Linked DNA regions of Nothobranchius furzeri. Each later gene encodes a partner of the first gene's protein in a complex. Links are inferred from orthologs where the notes say so. Each region holds a gene or a part of one and is shown in the gene's direction. Other genes may lie near its edges.

What was found.
Region 2: the proteins of ints9 (region 1) and brat1 are in contact, whole or in part, in a cryo-EM structure (PDB 8UIB), measured with the Homo sapiens proteins. The link is inferred for Nothobranchius furzeri from reciprocal best matches to the Homo sapiens genes INTS9 and BRAT1. Residues at the interface, in NP_060720.2 of Homo sapiens: Gly276, Met277, Gly279, Glu280, Cys282, Ser283, Asn284, Ala286, Leu287, Arg290, Asn291, Tyr315, Asp317, Ser318, Ala319, Gly320, Ser483, His484; in NP_689956.2 of Homo sapiens: Ala406, Pro407, Cys416, Pro460, Gln506, Lys507, Arg508, Cys510, His511, Pro512, Arg517, Glu545, Leu549, Gln552, Asp556, Pro557.
Region 3: ints9 (region 1) and ints12 share a complex: the UniProt entries of both Homo sapiens proteins name them as parts of the integrator complex. The link is inferred for Nothobranchius furzeri from reciprocal best matches to the Homo sapiens genes INTS9 and INTS12.

Annotation. Positions count from the first base shown.
Region 1 is NC_091742.1:17,898,854-17,906,530, forward strand, and holds the start of ints9 (integrator complex subunit 9), read left to right. Parts: upstream 1-2,661; 5' UTR 2,662-2,790; coding exon 2,791-2,799; intron 2,800-3,068; coding exon 3,069-3,196; intron 3,197-3,271; coding exon 3,272-3,332; intron 3,333-3,415; coding exon 3,416-3,478; intron 3,479-3,659; coding exon 3,660-3,799; intron 3,800-4,225; coding exon 4,226-4,312; intron 4,313-6,331; coding exon 6,332-6,452; intron 6,453-6,927; coding exon 6,928-7,062; intron 7,063-7,133; coding exon 7,134-7,245; intron 7,246-7,329; coding exon 7,330-7,510; intron 7,511-7,651; coding exon 7,652-7,677. Other genes in the region: pla2g7 (platelet-activating factor acetylhydrolase), read right to left, coding at 88-156, 233-326, 1,420-1,570, 1,779-1,871. UniProt on the Homo sapiens protein: Component of the integrator complex, a multiprotein complex that terminates RNA polymerase II (Pol II) transcription in the promoter-proximal region of genes.
Region 2 is NC_091744.1:16,244,382-16,251,028, forward strand, and holds part of brat1 (BRCA1-associated ATM activator 1), read left to right. Parts: coding exon 1-58; intron 59-152; coding exon 153-552; intron 553-631; coding exon 632-757; intron 758-863; coding exon 864-955; intron 956-1,026; coding exon 1,027-1,130; intron 1,131-1,207; coding exon 1,208-1,391; intron 1,392-4,473; coding exon 4,474-4,547; intron 4,548-5,316; coding exon 5,317-5,401; intron 5,402-5,478; coding exon 5,479-5,735; intron 5,736-5,815; coding exon 5,816-6,647. UniProt on the Homo sapiens protein: Component of a multiprotein complex required for the assembly of the RNA endonuclease module of the integrator complex.
Region 3 is NC_091746.1:80,673,247-80,680,989, forward strand, and holds ints12 (integrator complex subunit 12), read left to right. Parts: upstream 1-2,978; 5' UTR 2,979-3,105; intron 3,106-3,360; 5' UTR 3,361-3,368; coding exon 3,369-3,524; intron 3,525-4,549; coding exon 4,550-4,699; intron 4,700-4,911; coding exon 4,912-5,093; intron 5,094-5,205; coding exon 5,206-5,365; intron 5,366-5,444; coding exon 5,445-5,594; intron 5,595-6,060; coding exon 6,061-6,615; 3' UTR 6,616-6,967; downstream 6,968-7,743. Other genes in the region: gstcd (glutathione S-transferase C-terminal domain-containing protein), read right to left, coding at 1-166, 2,191-2,604. UniProt on the Homo sapiens protein: Component of the integrator complex, a multiprotein complex that terminates RNA polymerase II (Pol II) transcription in the promoter-proximal region of genes.

The DNA of each region.
Region 1 (7,677 bases):
GCGTTTCATCCAAATATGTGCACAAAAAGAACAGATTAGTTTACATTTTTATTTCTGAAATAATTAAAAACAAAAAGAAAATCCCACCTGTGTTCTACTGATGCCACAATAAATCCACGTGAAGCCAGTTCTGCACATATCGCCGAGTACAAAGTCCTAAGTAACACAAATAAAGCTGGTTTTAGTGTCAGTAATGAGTCGATGTGACAGCAGGGGGGAAACTAGCGTGTACCTGAAGGCACCAAGGCCATGGGAGAAAATGACCACAGGGCACTTTTCATTCGACTTGAATGGAGCGTCCATGTAGGCTGGGATCTTAAAAGAACCTGAAATAAACCAGAAACCTTCACGTTACCCTTCTGAACAACAAGAATGATGTGTGAAAATGACCTTGCACAAATGAAACAAACCACTTCTGCTTTCTTCCCGTCTCAAGTGTTACATTATTGCTGCAGAGTCAGGAGCTGAAGAGTGTAAAGTACAGCTTACTATCCTAATGTGTGTGGCAGAGGCACGAGGAGAACATCAGCTTGGTCTGTCCTGAGAGCTGTTGTGGTCAGACATGTTTGCTGTGCTGTGAAAACGTATTTACCTCCTTACAGATTTCTTTTTCTTGTCATATTTCAGAGTAACTGACCTCTAACCTGTCAAACTGGTCTCGCATCCAGTGGAGGAATGTGGTCCCTCTCTTCTTTACTGGATTGTCTGAATTCAGCCACAGGGGGTTTTCCAGCAGGAACGTCTTGTTTAAGGTCAAAAGGTCAAATGTTCTCCTTCAGAACGCTCTGCTACAACAGAATTCAGGGTTCCGTCAGTCGCAGCAGGTGGTCCTGGAGCAGCCCCAGACCATCCCACTACCACCACCGTGTATGGTGCACACGCCTTCCAGAACACTTTTCTCATCGAACATTTTCTCTCAGAGGTCTTTGGGATTATCAAGATGTTGTTGGTAAATGTGAGATGGTCTTTGAGGTTTGATTTGCTCAGCAGAAGTTTTGGTCTCAGAAGCATTTACTCTCACCCGTACCTCTGCTTTAGACATTCTGGGTTCATTAGTTCCTGCATCTCTCTAGAACAGGGCTTGGTGTATTACCACCATTTATAATGATGGATTAGATTTATATAGCCCTTTTCAGAGAATCCACCTTCCTCCTCACTCAGCTGGTGATAAATATTTGAGTTTTACAAAAAAAAAAAAAAGAAATTTGTAAGGAGATGAATGCTGACCTCAGTAAGCGCTGCTCACGTTTAAACAGCAGCAGAGAAGCGGATCTATTTGAATTTGCTTTAAATATCTCTGTAAAGGTCATTCTATTGGTTTAGTGTCAATGAAGAATAGTCAGGTGAGAACTAGATGAAATGCAAATGAAATAAAAACGTGTTGGATTCTGTTGCGTATTTCAGAGGCGGTTTACTCACCAAAGAGGTGGTCGAAAATCCCTTTACTGAGACTCCTGTTGATCTTCATGAAGTCTGCCAGGCCGTTAAAATACTCTCTACACGGGACCCAGTCAGGTTTCTCTGCCTTTTCTGTCTCCTGGCACGGATAGTAAAGTCTGAAGAAGCTGCCCTGTTGGCAACACACACACACACGCACACACACCTCTGAACATCTCAGCCTAAATATCTCGATCATGATTCTTTTCCAGACAGCCAGGTGAAAGTAAAATAACAAAGTAAAATGCAATTCAGTAGAAAAACGAATAGAGACCAGTTTGCCTAAGCAAATCTGACACCTACACAGATTAGTCAGGTGTGGGCGTGTTTTCTCATCTCACCTTTGCAGTGTGATCCATCATGAAGTCTGTGCATCCCACAGCGTTGGGACCCTTAGCAGGAGGGATCCCTAGATGAGTGCAAGAGTTCCCCATGGCCAGCGAGCCTGGTGTGTATGTTTGTGCTCACACACACACACACACACACACACACACACACACACACACACACACACACACACACACACACACACACACACACACACACCTCATTAGAAAACGCAGCATGACATGACCTTACTGGAAAATGACGTCCTGTTATGTATTATCAGCATTATGACCAAAGGTCACAACACACTCACGGTCTAAACTGTTTCAGATCAACAGAGATTTTCTTAAACTTTTTAAAGACGAATGTCAAACTGCCCCTTAACTTTTCTTGTTTACTCAACATTAGCAGATGTTTTAATTAACTAGTAAAACCAGTGACTGATGTTACCCACCTGTCCTCCTTGTCCACTCAGACTGTCGACCCGGCGTGTCGATGCTGTTAGCTACGGAAACATGTTGGAATAACAACAACTTAAAACCAGGTCTACCGGAAGTACAGACGTGCGATGGGCGGTCGTGTTGCTACATCAGAGATGTGTCATCAGAATGACATTCCTCAGAAACCCAATAATAAACCTGCACCCGTGTGACTCACAGCGTTTAAACCTGTTTGTGGCTGACAGCGAAACAAGACCACGTGACCCTTCCGCCTTCTCCTATTTGTTAACCTCTAGCAGTCAGCTCATATTGTTCTTTACTATTTTTATCAATATGCGAGTCACTTTATGTCCTACACAACCGTTATAAACACGTATACTATATTTGTGAACACATTTACGTGAACTGGCTAATTTAATCCATTAGCATAGCCATTTCGACGAGAGGAAGGTTGTCCTCCGAGTCGGGAGAGGGCAGCAGAGAGAAATCTCTCAGGAAAACAGCCGAGCATCAACAAACCAAAATGATGGCGTGTTAGCAAAGCCGGCTGTTTTGGACACATTTATTACTTCGTCATTAAGTTAAAATGAAGTTGGTGAGTAGAGAGCTCGGATTTTATGAGGCATATTATGCGTGTGCGAACCAAGTTTGTTAGAAGTTCTAAAAACAGAAAGCATCCAGATAACCGTGTTTGCTAGCTAGCTAAAACCAGCCTGTGGTTATAGTGGAGCTGCTAGCAGCACGACTACTTAATGAAATAAGTTTTGTTTGCAGTTAGGATCAAATGAAAGTACAAATTAAAATATTATTTTGATGATCTGTGTTTGTTTCATAAAGGTGCTCTCGGTGTTTATTCTTTTGCAGTATTGTTTGTCTGGTCACCCCACATTGCCTTGCAATGTCCTCAAGTTTAAGTCCACCACCATCATGCTGGACTGTGGACTGGACACGACCTCAGTCCTCAATTTTCTTCCCCTTCCTCTGGTACACAGGTGAGATACCATCGTCCATATGTGTGAATGGCGTTAGGTAAAGACTCATGATGATTTTATCTTCTAAAACATCAGCCCAAGGCTCTCCAAGCTCACAGGCTGGACCTCAAAAGATGGAACGGTAAATCTGGAAAAGGTACATTTAGTTGAGAATATTTTCCCTCCAGCATAAGATGTAGCCATGCAAATGAAATGCAAATACGATGTTTGTCTCTACAGGAGCTGAAGGAGTGTGCTGGAAGGGTGTTCGTGGACTCCCAGCCAGAGTTCTGCCTCCCAGAGGTAGTTGAACCAGATTACTGTTGTGATAAAACAGGCATATTTTCCTAATCTAGATAAACAAAGTGGGAGAGTTACAGTTATCTTACTTCTCTGCTGTTTGTAAATGTAATCAGTGACAGTAGGAACAGATTGTGATGAACAGAACTACACCTGAGGTCTGCCCTACTAATACTAATCACAGAGAGAACTGCTGGACCTGTCAACCATTGATGTGATTCTCATCTCCAACTACCACTGTATGATGGCGCTGCCCTACATCACTGAACACACGGGCTTCACAGGAACGGTGTATGCCACCGAGCCCACCCTGCAGATTGGCAGGTAAACATTTTTTATGCTTTTGTAAAAAATCTCAGCTACAAACCCAAATTCTTATCAAAACCCCTCAAGAGGTTTTGTTGCTTGGATTGAAAAATATTTGATTAGCTATCTGTGTAAAACTTGGTTTTCCAGGCTTAACATTTAATTACAGATTGTTATTGTTTTTTTATAAGATGCAGAATAACTGCGAGGCGTGTTTTGGGAGGTGCTTCGTCAAAGGTTGCTCTATTCTGTAAATCTGAGGAGCTGAGATGCATTCAGACCAGGTGTTTAGGGGGGGCGGGGGGGGGGGCGGCTTTGTTGTGACTTAAGACACCAATATATCAGACATATAAATTATATTAGATTCTTTTTAATGTGTTGGGTTTGGGCTCTAACAGAAGCAACATTCAATCTCCTATTTCCTGATGGCTCTTGCTTCCTCAGGCTGCTGATGGAGGAGCTGGTAAACTTCATGGAGAGAGTTCCTAAAGCCCAGTCTGCTACCTGCTGGAAGAACAAGGACCTGCAGAGGTGGGAGCAGCTGGGATTCATTTTATTTGATTTATTAAAGGCAGATAATAACAGGAAAATAGGACTAAAATGTTTTCACAGCCCGAGTTTGTAACCATTGTCTTGCTTAATGTCTTCGATCATAGAGTCAAAAATTACTAACATACGAAAATACGTGTGTAAAAATCCACCTGCCAACAAGCAAACTAATAAATACATGACATCAGCCTCTGGATACCATCTGACAGAACATGATTAGTTAATTTATTCATGAATCTATTTGACTTCTGAATATAATTTGTACCTAAGAGTTAGGAGTGGGATTATTTGAGCTCCTTGTATTTTGGGTCATCTTGGTACTTTTAAAGCAAAATCGATTTTCTACTAACTAATTAATAAAAACATTGCTGGGCTGGAGTCACAGCTTTGACACAAGGATGTTTGTGGAATTATTGGAACAGTACTCAGAGATGAAAAAGACCTAGACCTCTGACTCTTACAGTAAAGAGTACAAAAACCTCAGAAAACAAATAAAACTATAATTTAATGAACAGATTTAGTAGTTTTGTACCAAAGGGTCTGAAGTGGTTCAAAGGCAGAAATTCACATTAGTCCAAAAGACTAAAGCTTCCATCTGATTTAAGATAATTTGTTTTTCATTAATTCCAGTCCAGTTAAGTTCCAGTTTGGTTAAAAGTCTAATCAGACTGGTTTCTAGAGACAGACAGAAGCTTGTTTAGGTGATATTAGGTTGTCGGCTGATTAACTCTTCAGACCGACTCACAGAGAAAACTTTAAAGGTTCCTCAGAGAACGAGTGCTGTGACATCCTGGACAGAATATTGTATCTCTTCCAGAAAGACTTGAGGTTGACTTTGAGTCAGGATCAGATCACTGACACGCTCATCCCTTCCTGCTGTTACCCCTGAGAGGCAGGGTCACGTGTGTTTATTTATACCATCTTTATATTTTTATCTGTTCACTTCAACTGCAGTAGAAAATAAACCAATCACAACACAAACGCAAGTTATTGTGATAGAAAGGTGCTCCTGCATCATCAGGGTTCTACTGATGCTCCTGCATCATCAGGGTTCTAACGCTGCTCCTGCATCATCAGGGTTCTAACGCTGCTCCTGCATCATCAGGGTTCTAACGCTGCTCCTGCATCATCAGGGTTCTAACGCTGCTCCTGCATCATCAGGGTTCTAACGCTGCTCCTGCATCATCAGGGTTCTAACGCTGCTCCTGCATCATCAGGGTTCTAACGCTGCTCCTGCATCATCAGGGTTCTAACGCTGCTCCTGCATCATCAGGGTTCTAACGCTGCTCCTGCATCATCAGGGTTCTAACGCTGCTCCTGCATCATCAGGGTTCTAACGCTGCTCCTGCATCATCAGGGTTCTAACGCTGCTCCTGCATCATCAGGGTTCTAACGCTGCTCCTGCATCATCAGGGTTCTAACGCTGCTCCTGCATCATCAGGGTTCTACTGATGCTCCTGCATCATCAGGGTTCTAACGCTGCTCCTGCATCATCAGGGTTCTACTGATGCTCCTGCATCATCAGGGTTCTAACGCTGCTCCTGCATCATCAGGGTTCTAACGCTGCTCCTGCATCATCAGGGTTCTAACGCTGCTCCTGCATCATCAGGGTTCTAACGCTGCTCCTGCATCATCAGGGTTCTAACGCTGCTCCTGCATCATCAGGGTTCTAACGCTGCTCCTGCATCATCAGGGTTCTAACGCTGCTCCTGCATCATCAGGGTTCTAACGCTGCTCCTGCATCATCAGGGTTCTAACGCTGCTCCTGCATCATCAGGGTTCTAACGCTGCTCCTGCATCATCAGGGTTCTAACGCTGCTCCTGCATCATCAGGGTTCTAACGCTGCTCCTGCATCATCAGGGTTCTAACGCTGCTCCTGCATCATCAGGGTTCTAACGCTGCTCCTGCATCATCAGGGTTCTAACGCTGCTCCTGCATCATCAGGGTTCTAACGCTGCTCCTGCATCATCAGGGTTCTAACGCTGCTCCTGCATCATCAGGGTTCTTCCTGGGCCGCTGAAGGAAGCTGTTGACGTGTGGACGTGGAAACGATGCTACAGCATGCATGAGGTCAACTCAGCTCTCAGCAAAGTGCAGCTTGTCGGTTATTCTCAGAAAGTGGTGAGTAGGGGTGTGTGTGTGTGTGTGTGTGTGTGTGTGTGTGTGTGTGTGTGTGTGTGTGTGTGTGTGTGTGTGTGTGTGTGTGTGTGTGTGTGTGTGTGTGTGTGTGTGTGTGTGTGTGTACTGGCACCATTTCTCTGGACATTGATACAGATTTGTATGTGAGGCTGTAGCCACACTGCTCATGTTTTTGCTCAGATAGAACCAACCGTCCTCATCATTGTGGGACCCACACAGCACCACTAGGGGGCAGCATCTGTTTTGAACAGCACAAAATACAAAGGAAGAACATTTTGAGCTTTCTAGTCATGCTTGTGTTTTGTCTGTACATGATTTAAATTGGTAGAGAATGGTTGTTTTAGAGTACAAACTAGTGTTGCAGGCAGCTCGGTCATCATTTCTGTTACAAAGTTCAGATCAAATTCCTGCTCCCCTAAAGCCGTGTGTGGACTAGAAACCAGTTTTTCCTCCTCAGGAGTTGTTTGGAGCTGTTCAGGTCTCCCCGTTGAGCTCTGGCTACTCGTTGGGAAGCTCCAACTGGATCATCCAGTCCCATCACGAGAAGGTGTCTTACGTGTCTGGGTCATCCCTCCTCACCACACACCCACAGGTAGCTCAGCTTGAATCAGATCATGGTACACGTGAGGCTTGATGAAACCTGAAATGCGTTTTCTCCTCTAGCCGATGGATCAGAGCTCGCTGAAGAACAGCGACGTTCTCATTTTGACTGGCCTCACACAGATGCCCACTGCTAACCCAGATGGCATGCTGGGAGAGTTCTGCAGCAACCTGGGTGTGTTCAGATGCTCAAAGTAAACCGTTCTTCCAGCTTTTAAATCCAAAGCATGAGTGTGTTTGTGTTTGTGTGGACCTGCAGCCATGACGATCCGGGCAGGAGGCAACGTGCTGGTACCGTGTTACTCCTCAGGGGTCATCTATGACCTGCTGGAGTGTCTGTACCAGTTCATCGAGAGCGCCAACCTGGGGACCACACCCTTCTACTTCATCTCTCCTGTAGCCAACAGCTCGCTGGAGTTCTCCCAGATCTTTGCTGAGTGGTGAGCAGCTGCTCCTCTTCCCCTCTGAACCGTAGCCCAACAGCCTTCACTGTTTCACACGTTTCAGGAGGATTTGAAATCCGATGAAGAAAGCCACAGCCTCTCTGTGACGCTCTGGTTACTTGTGCTTGATATTTCCAGGCTTTGTCATAATAAACAAACAAAGG
Region 2 (6,647 bases), on another chromosome or scaffold:
CAAGGCTTAAGGACGATGCTGCAGCATTCAAAAGCTCTTGGCTTCTTTGTGCAAGCAGGTACTGATCACTCTCTGAGCAGATGTTTAAATTTCAGATAGAGATTTTTCTCTTTTTATTAAGTAATTTACATCTCCATGTTTTCCTTCTTCAGATTTGATTGAACCACTCCTACACCTTCACACAGACACAAGCCTATTTGTTGCTTCGGCTGCTAATCACATGCTCGCTCACATCTTGCTCTTCTGTCAGTCTGAAAACTCCCAAAACAACTCAAAACACCTGACTGTTCCCGTGGAAACCAAACAGAATTACAGCACTGTTACCGTGAAGCTTTGCGAGTATCTCAAGAAGTCACTAGTTCTCGACGGAACTTCAGCACTGTTTCAGAGTCATCAGGCTCTCAAAGTGCTCGCCCTGCTCCTGAGCCGGGCCGGGCCAGATCTGAGGGACCGACTGCTGCTGACGGTCTCAGACTCTCTGGAGGAACTGGTGACGACCAACTGCAGCCAGCTCACTCGGTCTCTGATGGATGTTGTTCAGGCTGCACACAGGTGTGCCTCTCTCTGCATGCTTAATGTGTGACTTCATGCACAATGCTTCAGCGTTTTCACCTCCTTCTGCTTGTCTCAGCAGCAGTAAAAGTGAGCATCATGCCTTGAACCAGCGTGTTGATCGCCTTTTGTCCATCATGTTGAACACGGGGAAACCTGCGGACCTCTCTTACACTGCAGCTGCTTTTCTCCGCAGCGGGCATGAGTAAGCTTCACACAGCACAGCTTGACCTTCTGCACTGAGCTGTTGGTTCACCAGTAGAAACCATTAGTGTTTAAAGGTGATAGTGACATGTATCGTTCTCCCCCAGTGACTGTGTCCATAAAGCTCAAGCTGCTAGAGTTCTGCTGCTTCCTCTTGACATCATTACTGGACTCAGTCTGTTGGGACAAAACAGCACAGGTAACCCTTACAGGTGTGTGCATTTTAAGACCGAAATATACTTCATGAATTCTTCCCAATTGTTACTGCAGCAGACAAGCTTCGCCTTCCAATGATGGAGTATCTCAAGAGTAAATCTTCCTGCATCTCCATGATTTGTGCCAGTCTAGCAAACACTCCACAGATCACACTCATGGTGAGTTGAAGGACCAGATAGTGAGGCCATCTAATTCTTAGAAAAGTCTCTTAGGTTTTTCTGTCTCTCCTCCTCAGGATCCCGACTGCCTCCCCTGTCCACCAGTTTTAATTGTATCTGCAGTTTTGTCATTATTGAGGCTCTGCAATGGAGACGGCTCCTCGTCCAGTGGCTGTGCTGAAGCTGGCAGGAACCTTATAGGCAGCGGAAAAGTTCAGAAATGTGCTCTTGATGTTCTGTCGGTCCTCAGCAACAGCTCAGGTACGACAACGGGACAATGTCCAAATGTTCAGGTCCAAACAAATCTTCTGTAACTTTAAACTGTTTCTGCTTCAAGCTGGTTACAAATTTTAAAGGGGACATATTTTGACTTTTTTCTTAAGTTGTATTAATACTTTGGTCAATACAAATCATGTTGAAGAAGTATAAAATCACTCACATAAAGCAGTTTCAGCAGTTCTTGACAGTTTCAGTACCTTCCAGAATGAGCAGTTTCAGGGCTCTGTCACTTTAAGAAAACAAGCTGGAGCTGGCCACGCCCCCCCCCCCCCCACTTTGGCTGCTATTGACCCTTTGCACGTGACATCACGTCTCTCACGAACAGCAGAGAAACTTTGTAGGCATGTTGAAACTCCTGTGAAGCTAGCCTAAACAAGCTAGTTTGTAGCCTTTCATCATCAACAGTTTGCTGCAAAGTTGGCTGCATTATCAAGACAAGGACGTAAACCCATATTGTCCCTCTTTAAAGGGATATTCCACTCAAAAGTGAAAATTTATAAGAACATCACGCAGTGGCTCTAAAGACACCTACTTCCATAACACATTATGTTTGTAATTCGAGAAAATGTACCAGCATTTAGCAGTGTCACGCCAACCCATGTCCTTGCGCCTATTGGCGAAAGCTTATAAATGAACTCTATCATTAAGTAGTCCCAAGTCTGAAATAACGCCTGGAATTCCTTTGTGTTCATTTTATTTCAACATGCAGTTAAGTTAAGTCATGGATGGCGACTAACTTCCTCTTCCTAAATGATTCTAAAACTGGTGTAATAATACCCGGCCCTGGTGAGAGAGCTGGAGCAGGTGATGAGATTGATCTTGATTCCATGACACAATGTCAGAAGAATGTGGTCACTAATTTAGGGGTGAAAATTGATGCACCCCTTTGATTTGATGCACAAATAAACATGGTTGTTCGAGCATGTTTTTTTAATCTGAGACGGCTGTCCAAGACAAAGCCTCTCCTGTCCAGAGTACATCTGGAAACAGCAGAACATGCTTTTATCATGCCCACATCGACTACTGTAATGCATTGTATGCTGGACTGAGTCAAGCTACTACTGCACGACTCCCGCTAGTCCAAAACTCCGCTGCGAGATTTGTGACTGGGACCAGAAGGAGAGACTACATCATGCCAGTGGTAGCTTCTAAGCACTGGCTACCGGGGCAAGATTTAAGATTCTCCTCTATGTGATCAGGGTGCTGCAGGGCAGTGCTCCCCCATATCTTGCTGAACTGTTGCAGCGGCGTGTCCCCACTCGGGCTCTTCGCTCTGCTGAGCAGGAGTGGCTGGAAGTCCCCCGCTCTAAACTCAGATCAAGGGGACCGGTGTCGGTGCAGGATCGGCTCGGGGTCCTTCGACTGCCAATGACGTCAAAGTAGTTGATTGGCTGAACATGAAGCTTACGGAAGTTACGTTATCACATCATGATTTTGATTGGTCAGAACAAATTTGTGGCCGTAGTCTTAGCGGTTGTAGTCCTGTAGTCCAAAAATCAACACTTTTTGGAGAAAATATGTTTGAATTTCTAAAGTAAATGTAAAATATAAGCAAATGATAAACGGTGACCCTCAAAAGCTCTTGATGTTGATGAAAGGGGGCAAAATAAAACATAAGAACTTTATTGAAAGACACCAAGCAACATTTTGAGTCAAAGAATGTATTTAGATAACAACTAAGGAATTATACAGATGAACTCCACGTTAATACAAACAGACGTGGCTTCACATATAAGAACTGTTTGTTTGTCAGTCCGATGTTGGTTTTATGCAGTTTCACATTCTTTACAAAACAAAGATAATATGGTGTTTTATCAACAAATTACAATTATAAAGAAAACATTTAGATGTTAACAAACAAGAATTTATTAACAAAACTGCTGATGTCTTTCCAAAACGTGTGTGTGAAAGCCGAGTAGAGTTGCAGTAATGTGACGTCATCGGCAGTCGAAGGACCCCGAGCCGATCCTGCACCCGAGCAGATCCTGCACCGACACCGGGTCTTCTCAGTAATGACCCCTACAGTCTGGAATGAGCTCCCTCTGGCAGTGAAGCAAGCTCCTTCTCTACAGGAGTTAGTCTCTCCTGAAATCTCTCTTTTATCTACTAGCTTTCCCCAGCATCGTTGACCCTGGCTTTCGTATTTTCACCTTTTGTACTGTATGGTTTTTAATTACTTTTACTTGTACTTTTCTATTTTTTTAATAATTTTTTCTCTCTTTTATCTACTATGTTGTTTTTATGTGCAGTTCAGCACCTTGGGCCTCTGATAAGGTGGTGGTAGGTGCTATATAAATAAATCTGATTGATTGATGATTATTTAGGCCGCTCAATACAATTTGTATCACTACTGAGTGATTTGAACAGACTTTTTTTCCTCACAATGATAGTTGGTCCCATTCGCTTACAGTGTTTTATGCTAAGCTAAAGAAGTACAGCTGGGTCAGGACAATAACTGGGCTGGTTGAAAATGTTTTTTTCCCACTTTTCTAACGCTGGAAAATATGTCAACAGACAAAATGTAACTTTTGGGTAGAGTATCCCTTTAAATTACTTTGATGAAGACCGAAGACGGGGATGAATAGCAGCGGCCAATCAAAGCGCTGACTAGCTGCTTGGACCCACTCTTCCCTGCTTCCATTAGACTGCCCCCCTGCAGCATGGTAGTCCATGTTTGTCCATGTGACCAATCAACCAAGATCAACTAGTTAGTGTCTGCTTATGATTTAAACTAACCTCTGAGCGATGTAAAATATTCACTGGATATATTTCTTATCCTAAAATAATCCTATGCATTTTTGATTGATTCTAGTATAATAAATAATTAACCTAAATTCAAACAAATGTTGTGCATTTTTCCATCTTATTGAGTAAACTGTCTTTAAAACAATGTGTATGAAATAGACCCTCCTGAGTTTGGGAGCAAAATAATTTAATCCGGCTCATTTAAAGTCATCCAGGGCGTGGTAATCCTGTTAAAACAACTAGACTTATTGCTTTGGGGGGGCATAAATGTAGATTTTTGTACAAAAGTGGCTCTGATTTTATCTTGTTTTTGTCTCAGGAGGGAAAGTCCTGCTGGCGGAGGTGTTCACACTTCTCATGCAGTATCTGAACAGTCCTGCTTCTGAGCCCACTGTAAGTTCTTGTGTGTGTTTGATCACCAAAATCCATGTCTTCCATTTTTTAGAGTAGATGATCAACTTCACCACTTTAAATCTGCTTTTAGATTCACGCTGGCTCCAAACGTTGAGCAGTACTGTTGCTGGATGTAGAGGATTTTCTGTACTTCCTTTGCATCAATTTAACTAATTTCTCAGTATGTAACTCTGTGTTTTTCTACTGTATGCTTTGTTTTTACCTTCCAGTACAACATAGGGGAGTATTTAAATGCAAAACAACAAAAAGATGACAAAAATACAGAATTTATCCAATGAATACAAAAGAAAACACGAAATGGGTATAATTTTTTATTTAAACACCATATTTTACAAATGATTCTGACATTTCATTAAATAGTGTGTCTTGTTTTATTGTTTTAATTGTAAATCTGATGCCTTTTGAACTGTTTGTGTACTTTGTTCATGTTAAAGGGCTTCATTGCCTTTGTAGAGCAGCCAGATTCCCCACACTTAAACCCAAAACACACACACACAACACAACACACGCACACACACACACACACACACACACACACACACACACACACACACACACACTTGGGAGAGGCTGGTGTTTTTTGCAGTTTTTGCACAAAAATGGTTGCCTCAGAAACTGATACAAGGTCAAATGAGATATAATTTCAAGAAGAAATAAAGAAATGTTGAAAGAAAGGTTGGTGGACATAAAAATGTCTGCTGTGACTAGAGTATTTATAACTGTGTGCGTGTGGACGGGTGTTTTTCAGGTCCTCCAGAAGTCGTACCGAACTCTGATGAAGTGGATTAGTGCGTGTGCGGATCTCTCCTCGATAACAGACCAGCTCAGAAAAGGTATGCCCCTCTTTGCTGCAGCTCTGAGTTCTGGATCCACATGTGGACAGAAGTGGCGTAACGCTCGTCCGTGTTAGATCTCATCCAGGTGGTGGGAAAGCGTGTGTGTGATGTGCGTTGGGAGGTGAGAGACTCGACCGTGGAGTTTCTGGGACACCTAGCAGGGCTGTGTGACACGTCTGAGGTTCTGCTGGGCGACCGCTGCTTTACCGTTTCTCTCCTCAAGGAGGCACTGCAGGATCCAGAGAGCTACGTGAGAGCCAGCTCCATCTCTGCTCTGGCCCAGACACTGGCACCCAGCTGGCAGCAGGGGGCAGCACCCACACAGGAGCAGGCAGGTGGAAATGGAACTGGTTGTTTTTATCAATAAATAAGATAAAGTGATTGTTCATCACCTTTTTTTTGTCCTTTCAGGTTGAACTTGTGAGTCGGCTGCATGAAATCCTCTCCCAGGACACGGAGGGATTCTCTAGGAGGGCTGTCCTTCAGTACTTTATCACCTGGTTCTCCTTGTGCCCCTCGCCCACCTCCTGCTCACTTCTCATGCAGTCCATGCATGCTGTCCTCTCACAAGGCAGTGCTGATCTAGACTGGGAGGTCAAAGTTCACACTCTGGAGCTGGCTGAGCTGCTGATGGACCGAGTCATCTCAGGTCTTCGTGGTTACTCAAATGAGCCAGGAGCTCATCCTCATCCCTACGCCGTGACGTCTAACAAAGTCTTCAAGCTTCAGTTGCACTCTGAGGCACACACATGGGACGGGGAGTCAGATTTAGTCGGTGTTTTGAGCACTTTGGTTGATCAGGGAGTCTTCTTGGTGCTGCTGGGTGGTCTCGTTGACTGTGACAGGCCTGTTGGACTGAAGGCCTGTCAGCTGCTCATGAGACTCAGAGACTCCGTCTGTCCTCTGTTACTAGGAGACCAAAGGGTCTCTGCACCAGACGAGCCCGGAGTGTCCTGTGAGCTGCCTGGATGTGGCTGGGCCCAGGAGGTCCGGAAAATACTGGGAATCGAGGATGCGGACCCTGCTCAGAAATCTGATGTTGTTGATCCTGGAGATGACCGTAAACCTGAGCAGGGAGGTGTGCGTGATGAAGGTTGCATGGTGCGTGTAAGTGTGTGTGAGGTGCTGAGGTCTCTGGGTTTAGACGCGAGGCTGAGTGTTCTGACGCAAAGCAGCGACCACGTACATAACTCCCCCATGTCTCTGCTGCAGGACATTCTCACTGCAGGCAGCAGAAACACCC
Region 3 (7,743 bases), on another chromosome or scaffold:
GTCTCCGTATTTTGTCATCGTTGTGGACTTTGACTGGTTCGGCCAGCCGCTGCTCCAGGGTGAGGATGGAAGGAGGCAGTCGGTTCACCTGGTTTGTGGGATTTAGGAGATGTTCCTCGACAGCAGAGGGGATACCAATTTCACACAGCCTGGTCCACTTGCTCACCTAAAAGCAGGAGAAGGTGAGATGTTTCAGATGAAGTGCAGTACCTTCGTTAGAAGTGCTTACAAATTCGCCCTAAATTCAATTGTTGCTTTTTTTATTTTCAGAATAAACTATTTCAGATCATAAACACTGTTAAATATATCAGGGTTGGAGGACCTAAGGAGTGGAGACACATGCAGCCCTTGGATGTAAGCTGGACAATGTCCTCGCGGCGTTGCCTGTGTTAGTGCGCAAGATGGATGTCATCTTGGAGAGGGTCGCCGGACGGTGTGAGAATGTTTAGAACGTATAATTGGCATCACTGGTGGACATGAATGACCACTTATAGACTCCAAGGCAGAGAGGAAAATTATCTCTGTCTGCCCTAAACAAAGTCTTGTTTATCCTTATCTGACGCCAAGGCTGCCATCAACACACCCCCACGAAAGGAGGAATGCTGACAGATGCTGTGTCCCGACCTCCCCCCCCCCCGCCTTCGGATTGTGACTTCTGCTTCGAGGTCAGCAACCTGCAGGAAACTCAATGTGCTCTCTGTCCCTCATTTCTCCCTCCAACCTGATTGTCTGCAGCTGGCTGAGCGCCGTAATGGCAGCTCCCGTTGGAGGATTCAGGATCCCGCCCAACCCCGCCTCCCCATCGGACTCTGATGTTTTGTATCTGTGATGTTCGTGCTTCTATGTTGAGGAGTTTTTTTTTTTTTTGTATAATAGAGTTACTCCCCGCTGGGTCTAACTCTGCTATGCCTTTTTTTTTTACCTTACCCCAATTATCCTCATGTACCACTTATCTCTATTAAGGTAGCGCGACTCAGGGTTGTGAATGACCACAGTCACCAGTTCTTGTCATGTGTCTTGCCCATGTATGTCTAATCTCTGAATTGTGTGTACTGAAACTCTAATTTCCCTCTGGGATCAATAAAGTATCTTTGATTTGATCTTGATCTTTAACTGCACAGAAACAATAGATCACATTATGGTCCATGCCCTTTACGAAGCTCAGGAAGGGTCTTTCGTTGTTTCTATATGCTTCTGCACTGGTGTGAATGATCTACAGCATTTTATGTCACTGCTGATTAATTAATGTAACTAGTCAGACACTGAAGACCATTTCCAGTGTAAGATGGTACTGATGATTGCTCAAAAGTATATTTTACTTTTCAGGATCTGATCATCATCCTCATGACTCATGATGCTGGCACTCTGCATCCTACCATGAATCAGATTTTAGACATATTTTTAAGTTGCCTCACGCAGTTCTGCAACTTTTATTGCCTGACTTTGTATTGATTTATTCAAACTACAGATATTGAGAATGTGAGCTCCCATCATCACCTTTGAGGGGACACAAAGCCTCTGAACTGCAATAACTGAGAGGTTCGCCTTTAGTTTTTAACTCAATAAGATGCTATTAATGCAATTTTACATTATGATGTAAAAATTGCACCTCCACGTCAGAAATAGACCAATATATTTGTTGGCCGACATATTTTTATAAATCAGCATCAGCTGATACACCCGTTTAGAGGGGCCGATTTAAAAACTGAAACAGCCACAGGCAGTCCAGTGCTGCTGCAGGATTTTATTTAAATGTGCGTGTGTGTTCCTGATCTACTTAATAAATGTTTAAAAACATTCTTCTTAACTGAAGTATTTTTTGTTTACCCGTTTTTATTTAAGACTTGGTCAGTTTATGATTTGTTCGATTACCTTTGGCTAAATGTTTGATTTTAATACGAGCGGTGCAAAAAAAATTAAGATACAAGAGTTGTTTAAATTCAGAGTTCAACAACGGATCCATGTTCAGAAACGTTGTGCATCATGTTTTTGTCAGTGACATCTAAGCATGCAAATAAGGTGGAAAATGTCGAGTTATCGGCCGCGAACATCGGTAGCAAATATCGGCCATCAGCTGACCATGACCCCCATATATCAGCATCAGTATCAGCATCTGAAAACCCCATATCAGTGGATCTCTACACCTGATTTCCCCAGACACCCAAAAGCTGACGCTTGTCTCCCACTGACCTCCGCACAGGCCTTCAAGCAGGTTTTTTTGAAACCCAGCAGCTCCAGAACATCCTTCCTGGAAGGGTCTTCCTCAGTGGTTTTGATGATAATGTGCCTGAGCACCACGGCTAGTCCTGCCCTGCACAGGCGCCCGCTCTCATCCACCGCTGCCGGGAGACGGCAGCTCCTCACCAGCTGGGGCAGATCCTCCAGCTGGACCCAGCTGACACCAACAGGCACTGGGAGCTGGCTCCTGAAAGCGTCCGAGCAGCTACTGGTGTAAACCATGAACACTTTGAAGGACTTGCACTCGCAGTATGATAGGAGAAACATAACTATGGACGTGTGCAGGGGGAGACGCAGCTCCTCGTTCTGGGAACAAACCTCTAAGAAGAGGGAGAGATGTTGCTCTTTTTTCTCGTTGTGCTTCATTGTAAATAAACTAGAAGGACAGTAAAACAATCAGTTAGTTTTATCATTGTTTTAGTGTTCTCTGTTGGTACTTTTACGTCTAGATTACTTAAATTCAACATATGACCCAAGAAAAATGACTTACCTGAAACAGGCGGACCGGTGTGTTTTGGTGATTCTTCTTCTGCTGTTTTTTCACTAGCATAGCTCCACAGCGCCGCCAGCGGTCTTCTCAAACGTTTCAAAACTCTCTTCATGAAAGAGTAACACCTATGTACAAAATATGTACCGCAAAGGAAAACATACGTGGGATGAATACTTATTTTATTATAACCAAAATAGTATAATAACCACGCGAACGCGAATACAAATTTCGCAAAACGTTCCGCCCTTGCAGACTCCGGACATATTTGTCGGTTACTCAAATGTGAAGACGAAACGCCGACGGAAGTGTTGCTCAGTTTTCCGTTGTTCAATAGAAAGAAAATATTCCGGTAAAACAGAAAATACACCCAGTCTCGGGTAAGCCTGTGTTTATGATAATTATGAGCTTCAATTTTAGAATTATAAAGCGACCTCGGTAACTACCGCGGTGCTTCTGTGGTTGTAGTCCGTCTTCCTGTTTTTACTCAGAAACCAAATATTTGCCAATGTTTAAAGTCATTCACAGCAGTTGGATCGGTGGGACTCGGCTTATAGGCGCCGGCAGTTCTTTTTACTTTGATGAAATGATACTAATTCACAGCATTACGTGAATTGTTATTGTTTGATTTCTAGTGGAAGCGATGGCTGGACCTGTCAGTTTGGAGCTGGATCCCATCTTCCTAAAAGGACTGAGTTATCTACATTCCAAGAGCAAAGATTCAGCTGAGAAGCTCAAAGCTCTACTTGATGAGTCCCTTGCTAGAGGCAGCGATTCCTCTTATCGCTCTTCACAAAAAGTAAGATAATTCATTCTCATATACACTCACCTAAAGGATTATTAGGAACACCTGTTCAACTTCTCCTTAATGCAATTATCTAATCAATCAATCACATGGCGGTTGCTTCAGTGCATTTTGGGGTGTGGTCCTGGTCAAGGCAATCTCCTGAACCCCAAATGCCACGGGCTACCTGAGCATTGTTTCTGACCATGTCCATCCCTTCATGACCACCTTGTACCCATCCTCTGGTGGCTAATTCCAGCAGGATAATGCACCGTGTCATAAAGCTCCAGTCATTTCAAACTGGTTTCTTGAACATGACAATGAGTTCACTGTACTACAACGGCCCCCACAGTCACCAGATCTCAACCCGATAGAGCATCTGTGGAACGGGAGCTCCGTGCCCTGGATGTGCATCCCACAAATCTTCCATCAACTGCAAGATGCTATCCTACCAATATGGGCCAAGATTTCTAAAGAATGCTTTCAGCACCTTGTTGAATCAATGCCACGTACAATTAAGACAGTTCTGAAGGCGAAAGGGGGTCAAACACCGTATTAGTGTGGTGTTCTTAATAATCCTTTAGGTGAGTGTAGAGAAATCCCCTTAAAGAGCAAGTCACCCCCTACCAGAGTCTTACTCCACTCCCACTTCCTGTTTGAAAAATGCAACAAATGCTGTTACCTGGCAGACCGAGGGGGTGGAGCCACTAACAAATACACACACAGGCTCACAATGACTTTGTGACATCATAATGTACTTCTTAGACAATAGCAATGGCAGAGTTTTTACCTGAAGACGACGTAACACTGACAGTTTTAGGCAGATTATTTAAATTTATCTAAGATGCACCAAAGTGCCAAGTTATTGACTACAAGTGTCTACAGCATGATTAGACACTCATTTATATAGTTTATCAGCAAGAAAGAAATTTGGGGGGGGGGGGGGGGGGGGGGGGGCTGACTTGCTCTTTAATGTCATTCGTATGACATTGTTTTAAAACCAAGTGCTTGTGCCTTCTGTGTGATTGTTTTGTCCTCAGGAGGTGGAAGTGTCAAAGGCATCCGTGTCAAAGCTGAGTTTAAGTAAAGAGCCCAAGTCTTCAAGTTCTTCTTCTGGCAGCAGCGGTGGAAGTAGTAAATCCAGCTCAGAGAAAGGCAAGAAAGAAGGCGAGAAGAGGTCATCAGAGAAGGTGTGGAAGACATTTTTCCAATTTTTACTAATGATCCCAGTAATCTGTGTCGTGTTGCTGTTCAATTGGGAAGTAAAAGTGCACAAATGAATGAAAAGTGCATATTATATAACTCTAAAGCTTTAAAGCAGAATCCGATTTAAATATGTGATCAGGTGTTTTTTGTTTGTGTGATTTAGTCAAACTTCCTTTTGTATTTTGCTGAAAAACAGGCCAGGGTTGACGTGAGCGAAGTGGACCCCCCCAAAAAGCCTCGTTTAGAGAAACAAGAGAACCGCTCCTCTCCAATCACATTTCAGACGAGCAAAGACCTCCTACCAAACATAAACGACTACGACGAGACAAACGCTGACGACTTTGCCATGGAAATGGGTCTGGCCTGCGTGGTTTGCAGGTACGAGTAGCCAATCGTGTAGATTTGTCAGCATGTTATTCCCTCAAATTAATCAGATCACCATTTTAAGCAGAAATTCAGTCTTTTTTTTTTAAATAATTAATTCTCTCAGACAAATGACGGTGACCATGGGAAACCAGTTGGTGGAGTGCCAAGAGTGTCATAATCTCTACCACCAGGACTGCCACAAACCTCAAGTGACTGATAAGGAAGTGAATGACCCACGGCTTGTGTGGTATTGTGCCCGTTGCACCAGGCAAATGAAACGGATGGTGAGGAAAATCAAGTCACGATCCTGCATCACCTTTTTAATGATGAACTAACTTGTTTGTTTGTTTGTTTGTTGACCAGGCTCAGAAGCCTCCTCAGAAACCATCCCCTGCATCTGCATCTTCAGCACCGGTTGTTAAAGACCCGCTGGTGAAAAAGACAGAGCTGAAGGCTAAAACCGATACAACCAGCACCTTCCAGGCCTTCAAGAGGACAGAGGTGAAGGTGTGTGTGAGTATTTTAATTAAAAATGACATCCTCAGTCTTGTTTCTACTAACCAGTAAGGGGTTTAGAGGTAAGAAAAGCAACAGGAACAGTTCCTTTTCTTTCCTTAATTGTTTAGAAGATTTGTTTCTGCGTTTGGATTCAGACAATATGGCAGTTTTAGTGTCAAATATATTCAATCTTATTAGTTTAAGACCTTTTAGGGATCATTTACCAATTAGAATACATTTGTTTTAAGTTAATAAAATAGAAATTAAAATACTAACCCAAAGTACCGTACCATGAAATCAGTTTTATCACCTTTTAAAAGCCTTTTAGTAACCAGCTATTTCCTGCTATAAAACCACCTTAAAAGAAAGCATTAGTAGAATTTAGTAACCCTAAATATTAGTTATGAATTCAAAAACATTACGTATAAAATTGCAGACTCATTCCTGCTCATTTGGTTTCTCTCTCCCTGATTGGGTGCAGCCACCTGCCACTTTAGCCAACCCCACCAACAGCGGCGCCTCGTCCTCGGGCAGCGGCCTCACAGGCTGGGCCGCGTTTGGAGCCAAAACCAACCCATCCCTTCCTGCTACCTCCAAACTGGCTTCCTCAGGCCCGAGTGGGAGCAGCAAGAGCATGGCAGCTCCCGCTCAGAAACCTGCCGGGCTGCCGGGGCTCACTGGAGCCAAGTCAGGACTCGGTAGTGCAAAAGCTGCTGGGAACAACAACGGAAATGGCTCCAGTCAGGTAACTCTGAAACCTCCTCCACCTTTGACCCTGGGTAAGCAGTCGCTCAACCGTTCATCGAGCGGCGACAACCAGGGGAAAGGCTCTGTGTCAACTGGCGCCGGTTCTCCGGGTAGCTCCCAGACCGGAGGGAACGGAGGAAGCAACGGAGGGGGCAATGGGAACAACGGGAATGGGTCAAAGGCTGCGCCGGCGGACAAAGCGCCGACTTCTCAAGAGTCCCAGCTGAACGCCATGAAACGTTTGCAGCTGGTCAAGAAGAAAGCTGCACAGAAGAAACTTAAGAAATGACCAAATAAGGAGGAGGAAGTGAGCAGACGTAAGAGGAATCGGTGCCAGAAGGCGTCTTCACATGGAGCAGCATCATCCAGTCCAATACTTGAACATTTGTTTTCTTTGTGTAAAGGCTGCTGGACTCTGTGCCTCTTTTCTCCGTACAAGCTTTACCAGTGGAAGAAGTGTCACTTTTATCAATCCTGTCATGAAATCTTCTCTTCTTACACAGAAACCAGCATGTGAGTCGATACATCCCAAAAGAACAGTCACATCACAAAAGTTGAGTTTATTGATGATGTAACCGATAGACATTTGTCAGGATAAATACAGAATAAACGTATGTTTTTATAGAAAACTTTTATATAAATCTTCTCATATTTGTAATCACACTTATAAAATCTCTATGAATCAGTTCACATATTAGATTATCTTCATGATTGCATCACTTCATTGATATAAACAACACTGAAGTACAAAAAGTGCTCAGGAAAGTGCACTGGCATTTGAGACGAGGGTTATTTCACCTACATTCATACCAAATCATTGGAAACATCCATGTAAAAACTAAACAGCTTCTCAATCGACATGAGACCATATAATAACATTAGGAGAAGGTCAGTTTTATGTTCACAAACCAAGTGTTGTAATGAAAGGCACGTTTTAATCCTGAAAGTAGGGCTGGACAATAATTCGATAATGAAATATATAGATCGATAGACGTACGGCGCGATGAGAAAAAAATTGGTCAATTAAAAGTTTCCTTTCTTTTTTTATTATAGCCTATCAGGTAGCGTCGAACTAGAGTCAGTACTTACTCCCAACCAATCAAAACACAGACCCAGGCACGCTCGTCACCAAGCCCCGCCCCTCTCAAACCAAACAGACAGCAAGTTTACAGTACTCCACTACCACGGCAATAATTTGGTTTTTACAAGTCTGAAAACAAAGACACCATGGTCAATAGAAAAATCTGCAGAGAATCGATTAAAAATCCTGTTTGGTAACACAACCAGCTTGTTTTTTCATAAGTTAATGACCTCAAATGACCAGGGACGCACTTAAAATATGTTTTCTACATTTTTATCAATAGGCTTTTTTTCTATATCGTCCAGCCCTACCTGAAAGAAGCTCATCTGAATCGTC